Rhinolophus ferrumequinum: one gene and its partner. The protein of the gene in region 1 interacts with the protein of each later gene in a pairwise test. Links are inferred from orthologs where the notes say so. Each region holds a gene or a part of one and is shown on either strand. Other genes may lie near its edges. The genes, in order: TTC23 and CREBZF.

Region 1 (10,379 bases):
ATAGGCAATATTCACTACTCTGAAGAAACAGTCCTAATTGAAAAATAGTTCTTGAACTTGAGATCTGAACCTCTGTTTAAGAGAACAGAGACCAAAGAATGTGCAACCAAAGAAAGAACTTAAAAATCAGATACAGCAAACCCATTTCCTTCCTGAACTACCTCATTTTGTTGCTTAAGGTATTTTAAAAATATTTAAATATGTATATAAAACATATCTACATCATTTATGTCATTTTTTCACTTCTCACTATCGAAATATTGTCCTATATACTAATTTTTTCTTTCTTTAATCTCTTTTTTCTTTTCTTACTTTCTTCTTATCTTTGCACATTATCAAAAGTAACAAAGAAATAGGTCTGAGAAACAGTTTTACTTTATTATTTCAATGAAAGAAAAAACACTGCACTAAGAAATAAGAACTCTGTATTCAATCTCTCGGTGCCTCAGTTGCCTAATATATAAAATGGAGACAGAAATTTATTGGTAAAAGCCAAAACCCAGAACAGATTAAATTCCCTTCTACCTCCAAATCTGACAAGGACAGGAAGAGAAATAACATTTGCCATCTAATCAACTACGCACAGAACAGAAACAAACTTCACAATCAATGAACACTAGAAGAAACAAACTCAGAGCTTCAATAATTAGTTCAAAGCCAAACAGCTCATAAGGGATAATGAAAGCAAGAATTTTTTTTTCTTGGATGGTGGGGTGTCCAGTGTATTTCAAAGGCTGGGTTCTTTACATACACAGGTACACAGGATACTAAGAAAATACTAACACTAAAAAGAAGTTGAGCTTGGTTCAAAGAGCCTACTTACTCTCTGTTTTCATGGGCACCCTTTTCTAAACTTTCTCATGGAAGGAACTTTCAAAGAGTTTGTTTTTCTTAAGAAAAACTATTTCCACTTGGAATTAGCACCAAGTTAGTGCAAAATGTAGTACCATGACTTTCAATAAGCAGAGTTTTTGGTTATTTGCTATTATTTCTGAATTCTAAATCCTAGCTAATAAGAGAGCAATTACCACTGTATACAAAAGGGCGGAGAATATGGAATATTCAATAACATCCCAATACAACATGAGAATCCAATATTTTCCCATATTTAGTCCACCTGCTCATCTATTTTTATGAGCCTTTACATGACTTGGAGCAAGAAACTCAAATCTTTTTACATCTTAATTCTCTCAGCTGCAAAGCAAGAACCTCCAACCTAACACATTTAAAAGAGACCTTCTCCCCGCCTTCAAATCCTCCCCAGTTTTTCCCATTTCAGAAAGTGGCACGCCACCCACCTCCCCACCCAGCTGCTCAAGCTGGAAGGCTAGAAGTCATGAATGATTCCATCTGGTCATTCACCTGCCACCTCCAATTCATCACAAGGCCAGTGGTTTCCATCTCCAAAATATACCTCAAATCTATCCACAGTTTTCCATCAGCCTAAACCAAAAGCTAGGCATCTCCTACCTGGCTATCTGGATTAACACAGGTCTCCGTGTCTACTCTAGCCACTTTCTGGTCCTTTAATTACTTAGCAGTGAGCCTTTTAAAATGTAAATCCAATTATATTTCCCTTTCTGTAAGGTAAACTGGCTTTCTAGTGCTCGTACATTCTACTAAATAAGCCCTTCAAAAGATTTTTTAGAAAATCAACCTCTTACCAGGACTTCAGGGCTATTCATTATCTGGCCCCATACACTTCTCCGGGTTTATCTGGCTTCTCACCAAGCTCCTGGGCTTTTCCAGTTCCAGAAAGTGTCAAACTCTTCACAGCACTTGCTGCCCTCCTCTTAGCCAAGAAAGCACCCAACGTTCCATCATCCTTCAGGTTTCAATGTAAAAATCACGCCCCTATCTCAAACTAAAGTATCCCCCAGTTATTATTGCAGAGAAACCCGATTTTTTTTTCTTTGTAGGACTCTTCACAATTTGTAATCTACATATTTACTGGTGCATTTTCTTATTGTCAATCTAGCCAAGAGACGATAAGCTCCTGAGGGCAGAGATTTTGGGGTTTTCTTCACTCTTATATACCTGCCTCTGGCATAAAGCAGGCCTTCAAACAGCTGATGAAAAGAGGATACTGAGTAACACAGTAAGTCCTCACCTAATACCTTGCATAGGGTGTGCAACTTAAAGTGAAACAATGTAGACACCAACTTTCTGGTAGGCTAACTGACATAAACAAGAGTCAAGTTCTATGTTATCTCATCAACATTATAACAAAATGACACTGAACAAACAATGTTATTCAAGGACCTGCTGTACTGCACGGTAGTTTTTTTCATTCTCTGAGCTAAGGTCAGCTTGTAGGTACTATATACTCAGTGCTTACTATGTGCCATAAAGATCCCCTAATGCTGGGGCCCGCTCCGGTGGCCCAGGCGGTTGGAGCTCCATGCTCCTAACTCCGAAGGCTGCCGGTTGGATTCCCACGTGGGCCAGTGGGCTCTCAACCACAAGGTTGCCGGTTCAACTCCTGCAAGGGATGGTGGGCTCCGCCCCCTACAACTAATTGAACACGGCACCTTGAGCTGAGCTGCAGCTGAGCTCCCAGATGGCTCATTTGGTTGGAGAGCGTCCTCTCAACCACAAGGTTGCCGGTTGGACTCAAGGGATGGTGGGCTGTGCCCCCTGGAGCTGAGCTGCGCCCTCCACAACGAAGACTGAAAGGACAACAACTTGACTTGGAAAAAAGGCCTGGAAGTACACACTGTTCCCCAATAAAGTCCTATTCCCCTTCCCCAATAAAATCTTTAAAAAAAAAAATCCCTAATGCTCACAATTCTGCAATGCAATAGACATTATTTAGCCCATTTAATGTATGAGGAAACTGTGTTTCTCATACAGTTACTTGCCAGAATTGCAGACCAGGTGCATCCACTCCAAAACCTGTGCATTGCCCTACAATGCAGCAGTTCAGGCACACACTTTGATGGGGTCGTTTAAGTGGTCGCCAAGGCTTATATAAATGTAAGACTCCAAAGCAAAACTATATATAAAACCCACACTCACTGATGCAAGATCAAAGAAGAGAATTCACTCTAGTCTGATGGCTTTCCTTCTGAACCCTCTGTCTGCCTTAAAAACGTCATTACGCCCTGTTAAATGCATCTTAGTACAAAGGCAGTTTAAACGGTAAAATCTACACAGGTGAAACCTGAAAGCCACCAATCAATCATAAATAACGCTAATGGTCTCCAATATGCGTTCACGGGCAATATACATCCTTTACCAGGATACTTTTCTTACACAGATTTCCTTCACTACCTCTTACCTACAGTTAAAAGTAAATGACATACTTAACATTAACTGTAGACCATTGCACCTCCACATGAGTTTTCTGACAGGTAAACACCAATCCACTTTATTATTTTAAAAAAGAAACAAAACCGTCTATCTTCATATTTCACACATTTTAGGCACGAGCGTCTTAGGAAAGGAGTCCCTTCGAGTGACTTCAGTACTTAATTCAGAAATACCCACTCCGATTTCCTAATACTGGACATTAGAGGATTAAAAACTTCATTAAAAGCATTTGTAAAAGGTTATTTTCTTACTTCTAAGAAGCCCTTGCTTGCAGAAGTCTTAAGCAAAACACATGCCGTCTTTGCCCGAGTTAATCAAACACTAAGGTCGTCACAGTTTGGAAGCAGCGAGCCCAGTGGCAGGGATTTCAAGAGCCAGTATCCGATTCTCAGGGCCAGGAGGGCCCGGCGACGGTGGGGACCCGAGGCCCGGCAGGGCCCACTCGCATCTGGGTCTACCCACCGCGGCCCGGACGCTTTTGCCGGACCCCACCTGGAGGTAGGGGGCCGGGACAGGGACCCTCGCCAACGTGAGCCACCCACGGACCTGGACGGTCGCACTCACCTCGGCGCCGGCGGAGCCAGCGCTCCGGGGCGCAGGCTGCGCTGGACCGCAAGCCGGGAGACGCCGGGAGGGAAGGGGCGGGGCGCCGGGCGGGGGGCGGGGCGAGGCTTGGGCGGTGAGGGGCGGGGCGGGGGAGGGAACCCTGTCAACAGAGAGCTGGGCCAGAGAGAGCAGTGGAGAGAAGAACGGAACATCGCGATATTTCCAACCTGTTCTCGCGGTTTCACGATAGGTCGGACGAGAGGCTCGTTTTCCGAGAGATGTGGCCATTGGCCGAGAGCGCTGCTTCCTGCAGGCTGGCCCCTCCCACCTCTCGACGCTCGCTTCCGGCTCCCGCTGGTATCTTGCTGTCAAGACAGTGGTTTTTTGCTGTTTTGCATTTTGAAGGGGTAATTGAGCCGGCTCGCACCTCAGGAACCGTTAGTAACCAATCTCTTCTTCCATTCACACATTCATTCAGACGTCCGTGCTGTCATTCAATGGGTACCTTGAGGCACGACCGCAGTCACACCTGAGCGCTTATTGTGTACCAGGCAGCGTTCTAAGAGCTGTGCACAGTTTACCTAACTTATCCCTCACAGCAATCCCTTGATACAAGTACTATTCTTATACTAAGTTTGACCGGTGAAAAACTGAGGCCCCGTGGGTTTATGTAAAGGGGCCAATAGTGGGCAGGTAGTGAACCCCAGCACAGGTTTAAGGGCTCACTGCGCGTTGATAGGTTCGTTCCAAAGAGGAGGCGGGAACCTAGTCTCTGCTCTTGAAATTCTACCTTTTGTTAGAAAAGATCGCTGAAAAGGATGGTAACCACTTAGTAAGTTAAATATTGGGGCGGTTCCTAGCATGGCTGGGTAGGCCGTGAATGCATATATTTTTCAAGACGGAAATTTCTATGTCAGGGGAAAGAGGCATAAAAGGACGAGAGCTTTATGCTGGGTAAAAAAAAAATAAAAATAAAAATAAAAATAAAAAAAATCAAGCATTGTCAGGGAACGTTAAAAAAAACCCAAAAACTTATTTTTTAAAATGCCTTGTTTTTTTAATATGGCAACTTGCGTTCTGCAATGAGGTTTTTCCATTTTTTTTCCTCTCATGAAACTGCTGTTATTCATTGTTCTTTGAAAAGCTTGATAATGACTAATTTACCAGTGCTTCATTGTCAAGTAACCTTGACTGTGTAGTTTTATATAGTTGGTTTAGTTCATTACTCTTCGAGATGAATAACCTAGAAAGCAGAGTTATGTTAAATAACAATAAAACCTATTCCAAAGCAAGACATGAGCTATAATGAAATGTCAATTATCTATATATTAAATCTGGTCTTCTGAAGTTAATGAAGTATATGGCATGTATTTCTAAGATCCTTTATATAGGTTTCTAAATACCTAAGAATTTGTAGTACTTAGGAATTTTTTGCTAGACTTCAAACAAGGAAACCTACAGTTTGTGTAAAAACAAAAACCTTTAGGGTATTAAAGATCAACCCAAATAAGAAGACTTCCTCCTAATACTGAAGTTACACGCGCTCAAAAAAAAAGATTAACAATAGATAGAACCATTTCTTAGAAAGTAATCAATGTTAGCCTCTTATTTTCATTTCTCTAAAAAGGGAAATATTTTAACGCATTAATTTAACATCCAATAGTTGATCACGTAAAATGAATCATCTTAAAATAACTTCTACACCGCCCCCTCCAAAAAAAAAATTGACAAAAGTAGTAGCCAAGTGATTCTATGGTTATAGTATAATATCCTATGTCTAACTTTAAAGTTCTCTAAATTTGTCGAGGGTCAATTTTCACATTTTGCCTCACCCAAATCAAGGGCGAAGAAATACTCTAAACTAGTGATTTGGCATAATTTAACAAACTTGAACATCAACAGGCAGCAATGCCACTTTAAGAAAAACCAAGAAAAAGTCAACCCCATTTTAAAATTCCCACCTCTGGCTCCCAAGGATTGGGTTATAAACTTCGACAAAATACTCTTCTCCACTCCCTATTGGTGCTTGCTCTGTCATTCATTCTTCTGCCTGGAGTTTTGTGAGGTACCAGCTTACTTTACGGGAAAAGGCTGCTCTTCTTTAGTCTGGAACTACCCTACTTTAGACTTTTTCGTGGTTATCAATCTGTATAAGGAATCGCCACACTGATCAGCGGGACCCAGTCTGGCAAATCAGGCTGTCGAGACAGCTCTGTAAATTCATTGGAAAAAGAAACGGAGAACGTCTCAAGCATACAAGGTAAATGGACAAAGGATTTTACGACACAGAGATGTAAGCATTGCAACTTTCCTGATTTTTCATTCGTTTTGAAGGAGGAAGTGTCAGGGAAAACCAGATAAACTAGGAGCAAAATCTGAGAGGGGCAGAAAGTGGTTTTCAGAGGGTGTTTTCCTCTTTAGGCTGGGGTTGGAAGAACCTTATTCCCAGGTTAGCTGTGGATTTTTGAGTGATAAAGGGAACAAAGTAATAAGATTAATTATAGATTATTTTATACTCTAAGAAGCTGTGGTTTTGTTGTTGTTGTTGTTGTTGCTTTAAAATGGATTTAGAGGGACACTTAATGTTATTGTAATTACCAAGTAAAAAGGATATTTTTTTAAATTAAAGTTTACTGGGGTGACAATTGTTAGTAAAGTTACATAGGTTTCAAGTGCACAATTCTGTATCACATCATCTATGTATCACATTGTGCGTTCACCACCCAGAGTCAGTGCTCCTTCCATCACCATATAGTTGATCCCTTTTACCTTCTAAAAGGGATAAAAAGGATATTTTTGTATACTATCATACCTAGCATAATAGACAATCCATCTGTTAAAAGATATAGGAGAAAATTAGAATCGTCTTTTGTTTCAAATTCTGTGTATATTTGTAGATTACGAGAGCCAGGGACAATCTGCTAATGGCCAAGCAAAACGATATTAGTATATGAATCAGAATCAGTAGGTAATTAATATAATAATCAGTTATCAAAAAATGAAATTCACCACTTATATAGTATTTTCAAAAATGATATGTTCATTAAAACTAAGCTCTATTAATAAAAGTTCAGGAAAATATTGATAAATGAGAATAACATATATTAAAACTTATATTTGAAATAGCAACATAATATTAGGATCTTGCCCAATATATAATTCCAAAATATGGCATTGTAAAGATTTAATTAGTAAATATAATACCTAGTAGCATATCTAAACCTCTACAAGGCTAACTCATAGTAGGTATGCAATAAATATTTCTTTAGGTGCCTCTGTTAATCCATATAGGGGGATATAAAATAATAAAATACAGTCTCTCAAGAAGCTCATACTCTAGTTAGGGGAATGAGACTCAAAACATTTAAAACATCCAGACAGTTCTTTATGCATAGATGACTATTATAGATCGTAAGTACTTCAGGTACTTAGATCAGTATGAGTTGAAATATTCAGGGAACGCTTCACAGTAGGATTGGGGCCTGAGCAATTGTGGGCCTGAGCAATGTGCAAAGTTTCAGTCGATAGAAAAGAAAGGAAGTGGCATCCTAGGTAATGAAATTGCAATAAGTAATATGCAGCCTAGAGAATAACTGGCTCTGGCTGCAGCAGAAGGTTCATTTGGGGGACTTGGTTTTAAAAAAAAAAAAAAGCACGAGAAGTTGCATGAAGAGTCAAAATTGCCAGAGTTAAGGAGTTTGGCCCTAGGATTTGAACAGGACGGAGACCTTATGAAAGTAATATTTGAAAAAGATAAAACTGACATCGCAATTTAAGATAGCTCCCAGAGCAGAGACTGGAAGGGAAGACGTTAAATGCTATGAATAATGAAGTAAGGATTAATAGCAGCCTTTTAAGACATTTTATCCAAATGCCTTTTATAAAATTCACTTGGTTGAATAACATAACTCTTACACATTTCTTTCTAAAGCATAGAGCTCATTTGTTGTTTAGCACTTAGTACAAATACAAACCATATTAGATGTGACAGCAGTTGTGATTCAATCAAAACAGTAAAAGTGATTATTGTTCCCATTGTATCAGTTCTTGCTTCTTTTCCTTCAGGATTTAAGTGTATCTCTTGGTGCTATTTAATTAAATTGAAGAATTTCAACAAACAACAACAACAAAACCCTTATAACGGAAGGATACCATGAGTGGATAGGAGGTATTCTTAGTCAGACCGTTGGCTTTCACCTAACCCGTTCTCTGAAACAGCTCAATTCCATACACTTGATGAGCTGCTACCAAGTACCAGATACTACCCTCAGTGTTGGGCAAACAAAAGTGAATCACGGACCATCTCTTCCCCCAAAAAGCAAGGTGCCTAAGGGATACCAAGCTGGTTTGTCTCCAGCTTCAAAACTTGCTTCAAAGAATCCGAGGCCCATTTAGCCTAAATTGTTGATGCTTGGTCCTTAAGAAGGTAGATGGAGAATATGGAAAATAACTCTGAGACAAGGCCCCCTGATGACCAATGGGGCAGAGTGCAATGCTCACTAAATATTCCACTTACTCTCCTGGGTACCTAGCCCCCTTTGCAGTTAGGGGAGCAAATGAAATGTCAGCAGAGTGACTGACGTGTCAATTCTGGCCAATGGTAGTGAAAAGCCCGTCTACAGTTTTCCATTCTCTGTTAGTCTACAGGACTCAGACTGATGTATAGTTCAACCTTGGTCACCCTAGTTCTCTGAGAGTCTCTGTGGATCAGACATTCCCACTCTCCACCCCCATCGTACACTATGTGGTATTTTGTTTCTGGCCTGTTTCACTTAGTAGCGTAGTGTTTTTGAAGGTTATCCACGTTGTAGTATGTATCTGTACTTTATTCCTCTTATTGCTAAGTAATTTTCCGTTGTATGGACACTACCAGATTTTTTTTATCCATTCATCAGTTAACGCACATTTGGATTGCTTTCAGTTAGCTATTGTAAGTGTTGCTGCTATGAAGATGTATACAAGTGTTTGTGTGAACATGTATATACCTAGGAGTGGAATAGCTGAGTCATATGGTAACTCTACATTTACCTATTGGAGGAATTACCCAACTGCCTTCTAAACTGAATGCACAATTTCACATTCCACCAGTGTGGTGTGAGCGTTCCAATTTCTCCACATCCTCACCAACACTTCCTAATGTCTGTCTTTTTAATTATAGTCACGCCGGTGGGTGTGGGGTGGTTCTCATTGTAGTTTTGATTTGTCGTCTCCAAATGCCCTTGGAAATAGAAGACTGACGCCCCACTTCAGACCTCTTCTTCCTTCCCCTTTGATCTGGGCCTAATCATGTGCTTCAGCCTTCTACTGGGCAGGTCTAGCAGAAGGGATCGCATCAATTGATTGAGTTTGTCTGACTGGCAGTTGTGGGGACTGATTGAGAGGCCCGGGAAGCTGAACCCAAGCCTGGCAGGGAGCCAGGCTGGTGTGTGGGGCCTGGGCTGATTTCTAATGAAAATTTAAACTCCAGCGATGGCTATTACAAAGAGAAGAAAAGTGGCTGATGATAAGCGTGTCGCTCCAAGTAAGTGAACCGAAGAGCGTGTCTTAGTGCTGAAGGTCTTGCTGTGGGATGCCCCACACGTGAAACACACACATGTATAAAGCAAGGTCACTGATTCACATGCTTCCAGGAGCCAGGCAGGTAACAGGCTTCATTTCATCGATTCGAAAAGGCACCTTTGCTTTGGCACTTAAACATCACTGACGTCGGAAGGCGTGTTCCAGGTGAAGGCAAGTCACAGGTTAATAGCAGTGTTGTTTCCTTCTTAGTGGTTATAAAATACTGGTGTGTCTTATCATCAGTGATGTTTTAGTTCAGGTGAAGTTCACATTCCTTCAGGTCAGGCTTTCACTTTGAAAGAGGTACGGACATGGAGAGACCGATTCTTTCACAAGACGGAAAGTGACAACACAGGAGCAATGGCGACTGTCCCTTTGCTGCCTCTGTGTCCAGGGAGTGGTGACAGCTGGCAAACTGGAGAGTGCACTGCCTCCAAGGCCAGCTGCGGCTCCCCTGGGGCGGGTTGTTTGTTGCCTGTGGCGACCTAGGCCCAGTATTGACAGGTGTTGCTTTTTCAAAGGAAGCCAGAAATTCAGGAATCTAGATCTTTGTGTAAAACTTCTAATTTTAAAATAATGGCTCATTTTTTTTTCCAACTGTCTCACCAAAAAAAAAAAAAAAGAAAGAAAGAAAGAAAAAGCGCGCATGGGGAGTAGTTAGATCTCAACTGTGAGCGCTCAGATTATAACCTCTGTTTTAAGGATTCAATATTATGAGGAAGCATGAGATGAACCACTGTTTACAATTAAGCGAAAAAACTAAAGAAAAGAAATAACAAACCAGTTTTTAAGTTACTTGACTATATTGTCAAGTAACCATGACTATATAGTTTTACATTGGTTTAGTTAATTTTTTGGTTTGGTTACGTTTAACGCTAGGTTCAGAGGCCCAGAAACTTTTGGCCATTATTTCTTCAAATCTCTTTTCTGTCCCTACTACAATCTGCTTTCCTTTAGAAACT
Region 2 (9,522 bases), on another chromosome or scaffold:
CTCATGACTCTTGCATCACGAAAATGCACCAGCTCATGCGACACTGTCTATGAGGGAGTTTTTAGCCAGTAAACAAATCACTGTATTGGAACACCCTCCCTACTCACCAGATCTGGCCCCCAATGATTTCTTTCTTTACCCAAAGATAAAGGGAATATTGAAAGGAAGACATTTGGAAGACATTCAGGACATCAAGGGTAATACAATGACAGCTCTGATGGCCATTCCAGAACAAGAGTTCCAAAATTGCTTTGAAGGGTGGACTAGGCGCTGGCATCAATGCATAGCTTCCCAAGGGGAGTACTTCTAGGAGACCATAGTGATATTCAGCAATGAGGTATGTAGCACTTTTTCTAGGATGGGTTCGTGAACTTCATTGTCAGACCCCGTATGTGTTGGTGCTATAGTTGGTGCATAAAGTCATGGTCTTTGTGGAGAATTTGATACATTGGTACTCATCATCTATTTTAATCCCTCTTTTAATGTGCTTTTAATGTGCTTTACTGTATTGCAGAAATGGAAAAGCTAAAACAAAGAAACACAAAGCAAACTATATTTGCAGACTCCTCTGTAGTTATATTTGGAAGATGCAAATGAGGCAGGGAGGGGCCCTTTTTCTTTGCTTTGGCTGTTGTTGCTGCCAAGGACATTTTTGGAGACATTGGGCTTTTCCGCAACAACATCCCAATGTTCATTCACTAGTTTTATGGGATATGATAACCAGCCCCCAGGATAGTGCCTAATGATTCCTTTTTTTTTCTTTTTAAAATTAGTTTCAGGGGTCTAAAACAACATACTGTCATAGTATTCACATTCTTATGTAGTACCCTTCCACAGTGAATAAGATCTGACTCGTGTGAGCAATAGAATACTTACAGAAGTGATCATATGTGACTTCTGAGGCTAGGTCATAAAAGACGTTGCTACTACTTCCTTGGTCTCTTGGATCATTCACTCTGGGGGAAGCCAACCACTACATAGCACAGACACTCATATAGCCAGTGGAGAGGCCCATATGGAGGGGAAACTAGGCTTCCCTGAGGACCAGCCTGTCAGCCACCTTGGAAGTGGACTCTCTAGCCCAAGTCAAGCCCTCAGATGACTGCAGCCCCAGACAATATCTGACTAAATCCCATGAGAATTCTGGAGCCAGACTGCATAGCCAAGGTTTTTACAAATTTCCGTCCACAGAAACTGTGAGCGATAATAAATGTTTATTGTTGTTTTAAGCCACATATAAGCAAATATTTATTGTTGTTCTATGATTGTTTTTAGGTTTGGGGTAACTTGTTAGGCAGCAATAGATAATTAATACATGGGGTTGAGAATTTAGGCGGCAGCAGTACTCTTGAAGCCAACATTCCCACTTTCTACTTCTCACTTTCTCAACTGGGGCAGAGACAACTGTTCCTAAACAGGCCTGTTTGGCCACACTGTACTGAGACGCATTCTTGATCGCCCAGCCTAATGTTCACTCCTCCGGTCCTTCCAATGACTGTGTGAGCCCGCATTCTGTTACATCTCTCTCTGTTTAAAATAGCTGGATTGGTATCTGTTTCCTGCAATTTGAGCTTAATCTAATAAAAATACCCATCTCAAATCAATAGCTAGACATTAGAGGCATTCCTGTAAAAGTAAGGAATAAACAAGGAAGTTGGCTATCAAGAGGATTATTTAACATTAATCTGGAAATGCTATTTCATTATCGTATTGCAAAGGAGGTAACATTTTCATTATATATAATAAGGTGATATAATTGTGTACCTGGAAAATTTGAATGAATAAGCTGAAAATGAAAATTATTAAGAAAGGTCAGTGGGGTAGTCAGTTAAAAATTTAACAAAAAAATCAGTAGTTTTCCTATGTAGCAACAATAACCATTTAGAAAACATAAAAGAAGAAATAATCCAGTCCAATAGCAAAAAATACATACATAACTGGGAAAAATCAATTAATAAATGTAATGTGATTTCCATGAAAATTCCAGGTTGTTTTCTTTGAACTTGGAAAATATTATGACATTATCCAGAAGAAGAAATATTCGTGTATAGATAGACAATTCTGAGATAGTAAGACTAACAAAGGACTTGTCTTATGAGATATTAAATATATTATAAAACTACAATAAAAATGGAGTGATTTTACTTCCAGAATGGTGAGACTGTCAAATGAAATAAAAGAAAAAGACCAGAAATAGATCCAATTACATGTAAGAATTTGATATATGGCACACATGTTGGGAAATAAGTGGGGCAAGTGTGAATTGTTCAATAAATTTTATTGTGGCAGATCACTTTTTGAAAAATTATATTCCTGTTACATTTTGTACCAGAATGAATTCCATTTGAATCTAAATGAAATAAACTATGTCTCGTGTTGTTAAAAAAACTCTTAGTAATATAAACATAAGTAATTAAAGAAGTTCTAAAACACATAGGTAAATATTAGTATTATTTAGGCTAATAAAGCCTTTTTTGGCTTAACATCACAGCTAGAAACCATGAAGAAAATTTTAATAGATTATTTTAAAATGATAGCAAAACAAGCAATTTCACCCCTTCCCTCCCCTGGTATTTGATCACCTGGGGGAAAATTGGAACACATGTAAGAGACAAAGGTATATTTTCTTTATAATGTAAAGAATTCTTATAAATCAAGAAGGAAAAAGACAAACATTTTCCCTGACAAACATTTTCTCCCATCTCTAAGAAAAAATGAGCTAAGGATGTGAAAAGGCTGTTCACATTAGAAATCAATTGGTCATATGAAAAACATTCAACTCTCTAATAATCAGAGAAATGGAAATTCACACAAAAAGATGCCACGTTTTATTTTTGGAGTGGCACATTTTAAAAAGAACACGTCCACTGTCGTTGAGTGTGTAAGAATTAAATACTGTCATACACCATTGGTGAGAAATATCTTTCCATAGGTAATAAAGGTCTATTTATAAAAATTGTATTTATAGAAATTCTACTTCAAAGAGTTTATCCTAAGGGTTATAGGATAAGTGAACCAAGATGATTGTACAACATTATCATGTGGTTTATAACAGTGAAAATTTCAATATAACCTAAGTGCTATCAATGAGGAACTAATTGAATAAAATTTGCCCAGTTCATGAAATGGAATTCTAGACAGTCATAAAAAATAAGCATGTGGAGGGGAAGATCCATCTACATTTTTACACATTTTTGATTTTTTTGCAATGATCCTTATAACTAGAAAAAGAAAAACAAAACAGTTGTGAAGAAGGAGAGAGTGAGAAAAATAAGGAAAAGAAAAGGGAGGAATGATGAAGGGGAGACAATTTTCTGGGAGTTTTACTCTTGTTTCATTTGCTTTTTATCTTCTGAGGCTAGATTGTAAAAACTTCCTTCTCTTGCAGTTTTCCACTTTTCTCTTAGTCCAACTGGAGAGGCTCTCAAGCCATGTATATTTAAACCAAACTGTTGTAATTTGGAAAAAATAAAACAAATCAAACCCTGATTTCGAATTTGCCTAAAGAGAAAATGTAGTTGGATGGGCAGTCCAGAGCATATATCACCTAGAACTGTTCTGTGTTCTACTTTAGCAAAACCTTTTCTAGTAGGAAGGTTAAAAGGACATGGAGGCCCTTTATTTATTCTTCTAGATACCATAGGTCATACTTATTTTGCCCCCTGCAGAATTATTTTCATTAGTTGAATTGTAGCATTATGCTTTCAGCCAAAACTGGGGAACTTCTTCATTCATTTATTCAACAAATATTTATTGAAGCATAAGCTGTGCTTTGTACTGTTCTAATATTTGGGACCAATCAGCATGCAGCTTTCTTTGAACCTGCTTTGTATCTCTCTAAGGAACAGCCATACAAAAGTAGTTATTGTTGAAGCTATAGGCTACTTTATTGAGTATCCTACTGAGAAGTTTCTTTAAGACCTAAGAACTGGAAAGTGGTTAAGGGATTAATATGCTGCTTATGATATGTACTTATGAGCAAACAAAGTTTGTTTCCTTTTTTTATTTGGGCTAACAGGAAGCTTAGTCTATTGTTAGCTCAATTTGAGTAACTGTATAAAATATCATGTTCATGCTATTCCAATACTAACCTTTCTCTTTGGGAACTCCTTATCTTTCTATTTCATCTATATTTTCATTGGCCTTACTTTTTTAAAATTTGAATTGTTTTGTTTCTAATGTATTTGTGAATGGCTTCAAATCTCAAATACCTTGTGAGATTAAGATAAACAACATCATGAGGAAACAGACAAATCTAGAATGTGGTGCATTTTTCAAAACAACCAAACTGGTATCTTCAAAAAGCCAATACTAAGAAAAAGTAGAAAGTGGAAGGGACTAATGTACTTTGAGAAATGGTGTGAAAATCCACAATAACAACAACCAAATGCAGTTAAGTGACCCTTGACTGGACCCTGGCTCAAAATAAAACATTCTCTATAAAAGATTATTCTGAGGAAAGCTGAGGAAATTTGAATAGGGCCTGAGTAATAGATATTAGCAAATAATTGTTCATTTTCGCAAGACCTGATAATAGTAGTATGATTGTGAAAGAGAATGTCTTTATTTTTAGAGATATATACTGAAGTATGTTGGGGTGGTATGTTTTGTCTGCAACTTCGGGATAATTCAGCAAAATTAGTAATTATTTTACATTTATATGCAGGTAAAGCAAATGGCAAAATGTTAATTGTTGAATTGTTGACTCTCAGTATTGGGGTAGTATTGTTAAATTTGAGTGGCTATTGTACTATCCTTTCACATATTCTGTGTATTGGGAAGTTTTTATAAGAAAATCTTGGAAAAATTAAATTATATATGAATGATTTACTTATTTACCTCTATTTCTTCTAGTACTCTAGAAGTACTGAAATGAAAAGATTTTGTATTATGACGGGAAGGGAAAGGAGCAATTTCAAGAGGGAGCTCTGATCACCAGTCTTAAATTCCAGAGGAATCCAGGATGATGAAGATTATTCACAAATTTGGTATCTAAAAGATCAATTCTGAGCGAGAGCGGTTTCACTGGAAGTGGAAGCCAGAATAGAGTTGAGAAGTGAGGGCAAAGAGGGCAGACCACTTTTTTAAGAAACCCGTGGTTTTGTTGTTATTTTTGCCGCTGTTACTATGACATCACTGGAGAGCTGGAATTACTCCCACTCCAGCATTCCCTGAACTCTCGCGATACTAGAGCCTGGTGGAGCGCGAAAGGCCGTGGGAGGGGCTGGGGCGAGACCGACCGACTTCCGGCCAGGCCGTTGTCTGGGTGGCGCGGTCGAGTCATCGCCGGGCCTCGCGGCCTCGATCTCCCATCCTTCCCCCGCGCCTGTGCGCGGGGGGTCGACCAGCCGAGAGGGGCAGGAGGCAACCCGGACCTTCCTCGTCATTTCGTTCTGGCCGGCTCACGGGCTACCCGCGCTGGGTCCTGGGGTCCTTGGGGCCCGCGAGGCCCGGTCTAAGAGGCCGGGGCCTACGTGGGCCCGCCGCTGGGCCCCATGAGGCACAGCCTGACCAAACTGCTGGCGGCCTCGGGCAGCGACTCCCCAACACGGAGCGAGAGCCCGGCGCAAGCCGCCACCTGCTCGCTGCCCCCGGACTTGTCCCGGGCGGCAGCGACGGCAGAGGAGGAAGAGACGGCGGTAGCCAGATCTCCCGGCCGTGAGCAGCTGCGCGGCGACGAGGGCGAGTTGGAGGACGGTAGGGGGGGCCGCGGCGGCGTGGTCGTGCGCGCGCCCTCGCCGGAGGAGATGGAGGAGGAGGCGATCGCCAGCGTCCCCGGGGAAGAGACGGAGGACATGGACTTTCTGTCCGGGCTGGAACTGGCGGATCTGCTGGACCCCCGGCAACCGGACTGGCACCTGGAACCCGGGCTCAGCTCGCCCGGGCCTCTCTCCTCGTCCGGCGGAGGTTCGGATAGCGGCGGCCTTTGGAGAGGGGACGACGACGACGAGTCCGCGGCTGCGGAGATGCAGCGCTTTTCTGACCTGCTGCAGAGGCTATTAAACGGTATCGGAGGCTGCAGCAGCGGCAGTGACAGTGGTAGCGGCGAAAAGAGGCGGAGGAAGTCCCCAGGAGGAGGCGGCGGCAGCAGCGGCAACGACAACAACCAGGCGGCGACAAAGAGTCCCCGGAAGGCGGCGGCGGCCGCTGCGCGTCTTAATCGGCTGAAGAAGAAGGAGTACGTGATGGGGCTGGAGAGTCGCGTCCGGGGCCTGGCAGCCGAGAACCAGGAGCTGCGGGCCGAGAATCGGGAGCTGGGCAAGCGCGTGCAAGCACTGCAGGAGGAGAGTCGCTACCTACGCGCCGTCTTAGCCAACGAGACCGGACTGGCTCGCTTGCTGAGCCGGCTGAGCGGCGTGGGACTGCGGCTGACCACCTCGCTCTTCAGAGACTCGCCCGCCGGGGACCACGACTACGCTCTGCCGGTGGGAAAGCAGCAGCAGGACCTGCTGGAAGAGGACGACGCGGCGGGAGGAGTGTGTCTTCATGTGGACAAGGATAAGGTGTCGGTGGAGTTCTGCTCGGCGTGCGCCCGGAAGGCGTCGTCTTCTCTTAAAATGTAGGGTCAAGTAATCTGCTCTTTATCCGCGTTTACCCCTTTCAACTCCCTTACACCATGTAAAACACCTTAGTGGGACATCTTCACTGGACACATTTCAGAGGAGGAAAAAAGTAATATTGAATCTTTAAGTGTTTAGCTAAAAGCATGAATGTGACACTGTAACCAACTCCTAATGATAACATGTGACTATTAAATCTCTCTGACAGTTTCTTTTTTAGGTGATTTCCTTCCTGCCAGGCTCCGTTGTAGGGGTTACAGAACAGTCGTTCCCGCCTCACAACCTGGTAAGGATCCATCTCTTCACGTAACGCTCATGCTCTGCTGCTTAGTCTACTTTAATGGGCAACATCTCAATTTGTGTGTGTGTGGAGATATTTTTTTGTTTTCTTTTTTGGAAGGCGGGAGGGGAATCTGATTTGGGCCCTGTCCACCCTGGAAACAGACTTGTGCTGGTCAAATAATGTATTTAAGATGCTTCTTCTGGTTGAAATAGCTGTTAATGTGTCCCCTTGTTCAGACTTGCGTGTACCTAGCTCTTCTGTCCCCAGTGTGGACATGGCCTTGGATGACATCGATTCCAACTGTACACTGAAAGCTGCTAATAGAAATACAGTTTGGAGACAGTGAAACAGGTGAAGTTGAATGGAAGTTCCGAGTTGTACCAGGTGCAAATTGGAATTCCAATTTTAGAGCAACTTTTCAGAGGTTGACAATAAGTGTTTGGGGCATGCACCAATGTGATAGTTATTTTGCTGGAGATGACAGAAATCTCCTAAATATTCAAGAATGCCTTTTAGTTTTCAGTAGATCTAGAAATACAATATTCAGATTAACAGATATCTCATCATTAGAAAAAATTTGGAAATTAACATGCATATCAGACTCCTGTATTAGTTAATAGGAGGAGGAATCAGAATGGTTAATGAAATGTTTCTTTGAGAACCAGCACAGTGATTACCCTATCACTGAGTATGAATAAATTGTTGAACACCTTTATTTTTGTTGTATTAAAATTTTAGGTTAACTTTATGTAAGATTTTGAAGGTTGTGAAATATGAATGAAAACATGTAAAGTGAGGCTTCACAAAGAATCTTATTTCAAATATATTTGTCCTATTTAAAATTATTTAAAAATAATTTTACAAATTGAGTTGTTCTGGCTACTAATGACACGATTGACACTTTTCCCAAAGATGGGACATATTCTTTTGCAGTATTCTGTTATCTATTGTCCAGTTGTATAAATAGAGTTACGGTGTCCTTCAGTGTAAGAGACAATAAGAAATTCTTTGTGAAACATCACTGTTTGATAAAGTATATACGTATTTAGCATCCTTGTTTTTCTTTGTGCTAAAGTGGATACAGCTGTTGGGGCAGAAGAGACGGGACCAGCTGCTGGCCACATTTCCTGCTTTATTTTAAAAGGTAGTATAAGAAATGAGGAAAAAGAGGTAATATCAGGGCTTCTGCTGTCTTTTATTTTAAAATGTTCATAATTAAAAAGTATTTTCCAGCAGTCCAAAGATGTAAGTTATCTTACACATAAAATGTTTTATTTTGTTGTTATTTGGTTATGAAAATGGAATCCTTGTTCTTGCACAACTGTAAATGTTTTGTTGCTAGATAATACGATTTGAGATCTAACTTGGTCTCTGGTTTCCAGTGCATCACAGCATATTTTGTAAAATCTTCTATTGCACTTGAGCATGAATGGGTAGTAGCCAAACTCACAACCTGGAGTGATGAACCTGCTTATACCTAAGTGCAGGAGCAAGCCCCTCACAATGCAGCTGCATGGAGTTTTAGTGCCTACTGAATTATATATATAAACCAAAAGTAGTTGGAAAAATTATTTGAAATGACTAATTTGTGCTATCTTTATGGAATATGTTAAATGTAGCTTTTTGAAACAGAAGCCTTGAATTGAAATTTAATTAATACTTGAACATTTTGTATATATTTCTTTGTATATAATTTTGTGCAGTACCAATGACAAAAATACGGTGTCATAATAAAACCAGGTTTGTTGATCTTTCAGTTATGGGCTCAAAGAATTTATTCATCTCTATCATGACATTGGAAAATAATGGATGAAAATAGGAAAAATAATTGTTGTTAATGCTGACTGTGGGTCTTAAAAGGTTCTGGAAGCAGTAAGTGCGTTTTTCTAAAAATTATACTGTTCCTTGGCATATTTTCTTCCTAATGGCAATGCTTTTCCTGCATTATTTGAAGTTTGGGGCTGGGGAGAAACAGTAGTCAAAGCTTTCTGAATTGGGCTGCTTTGAAATTCCAAGTGTAGATTTTTAGAATGTCATTTTATAAATGGCAGTTTTTGGAAATACTTGATTAAGAACTTTTGAAAATGGAGATTAGTATCACCTATTTTAAAGCTGCTTTGTTAGGTTCCTTATGTTTTAACTGTCTCTTCTTAGTTTCCATTTCATTTTCTTTTTTTTTCCTAATTTTGGTGACTCAGTGATTTTGTCATTTTTTTACATCAACTTCATGGTCTTGTTTTTACATGGTATTGCATGTATTTAGGACCTATCTAACAGGGGCTTTAAATAAATTTGGTCACATTTATGTGTAAGCACATTTTACTGTAAATGTTTGAGTTTCTGAATTTACAATAGATCTGTTTATTTCAGTATGTAGTAGAATATCTTAAAAGTGTCCTATTCACTACTTGTTAATTAAAAAAGTTATGATTAATATGAAACTGTTGTCTTACTATTTTTAAAAAATTGTGTTCTGGTGGATAGTTGCATAAAGGAGATTTCTGGAATATAATATGGAGTGTTTTGAAATTTACGGTTTGGCTTTATTTACTGTAATGGAAAAAAACAATTTAGTATTTGGGGAACCTTTTTTTCCCCTAATTTAGCCACTATGGCAAAATGTTACAGAACTAAAGATTATAGCTTTTTAATGTCTTCTGATGGTGACAGCAATTCATA

The links.
Region 2: the proteins of TTC23 (region 1) and CREBZF interact in binary tests that used the Homo sapiens proteins (3 or more experiments, as listed by UniProt). The two-hybrid records come from large-scale screens. The link is inferred for Rhinolophus ferrumequinum from reciprocal best matches to the Homo sapiens genes TTC23 and CREBZF.

Annotation. Positions count from the first base shown.
Region 1 is NC_046311.1:11,645,123-11,655,501, reverse strand, and holds the start of TTC23 (tetratricopeptide repeat protein 23), read left to right. Parts: upstream 1-4,982; 5' UTR 4,983-6,151; intron 6,152-10,379. UniProt on the Homo sapiens protein: Participates positively in the ciliary Hedgehog (Hh) signaling.
Region 2 is NC_046294.1:58,630,879-58,640,400, reverse strand, and holds the start of CREBZF (CREB/ATF bZIP transcription factor), read left to right. Parts: upstream 1-5,222; 5' UTR 5,223-5,495; coding exon 5,496-6,559; coding exon of another isoform or gene 6,560-6,563; exon of another isoform or gene 6,564-6,768; coding exon 6,769-6,784; 3' UTR 6,785-6,846; intron 6,847-7,918; 3' UTR 7,919-7,987; exon of another isoform or gene 7,988-8,599; intron 8,600-8,600; 3' UTR 8,601-9,522.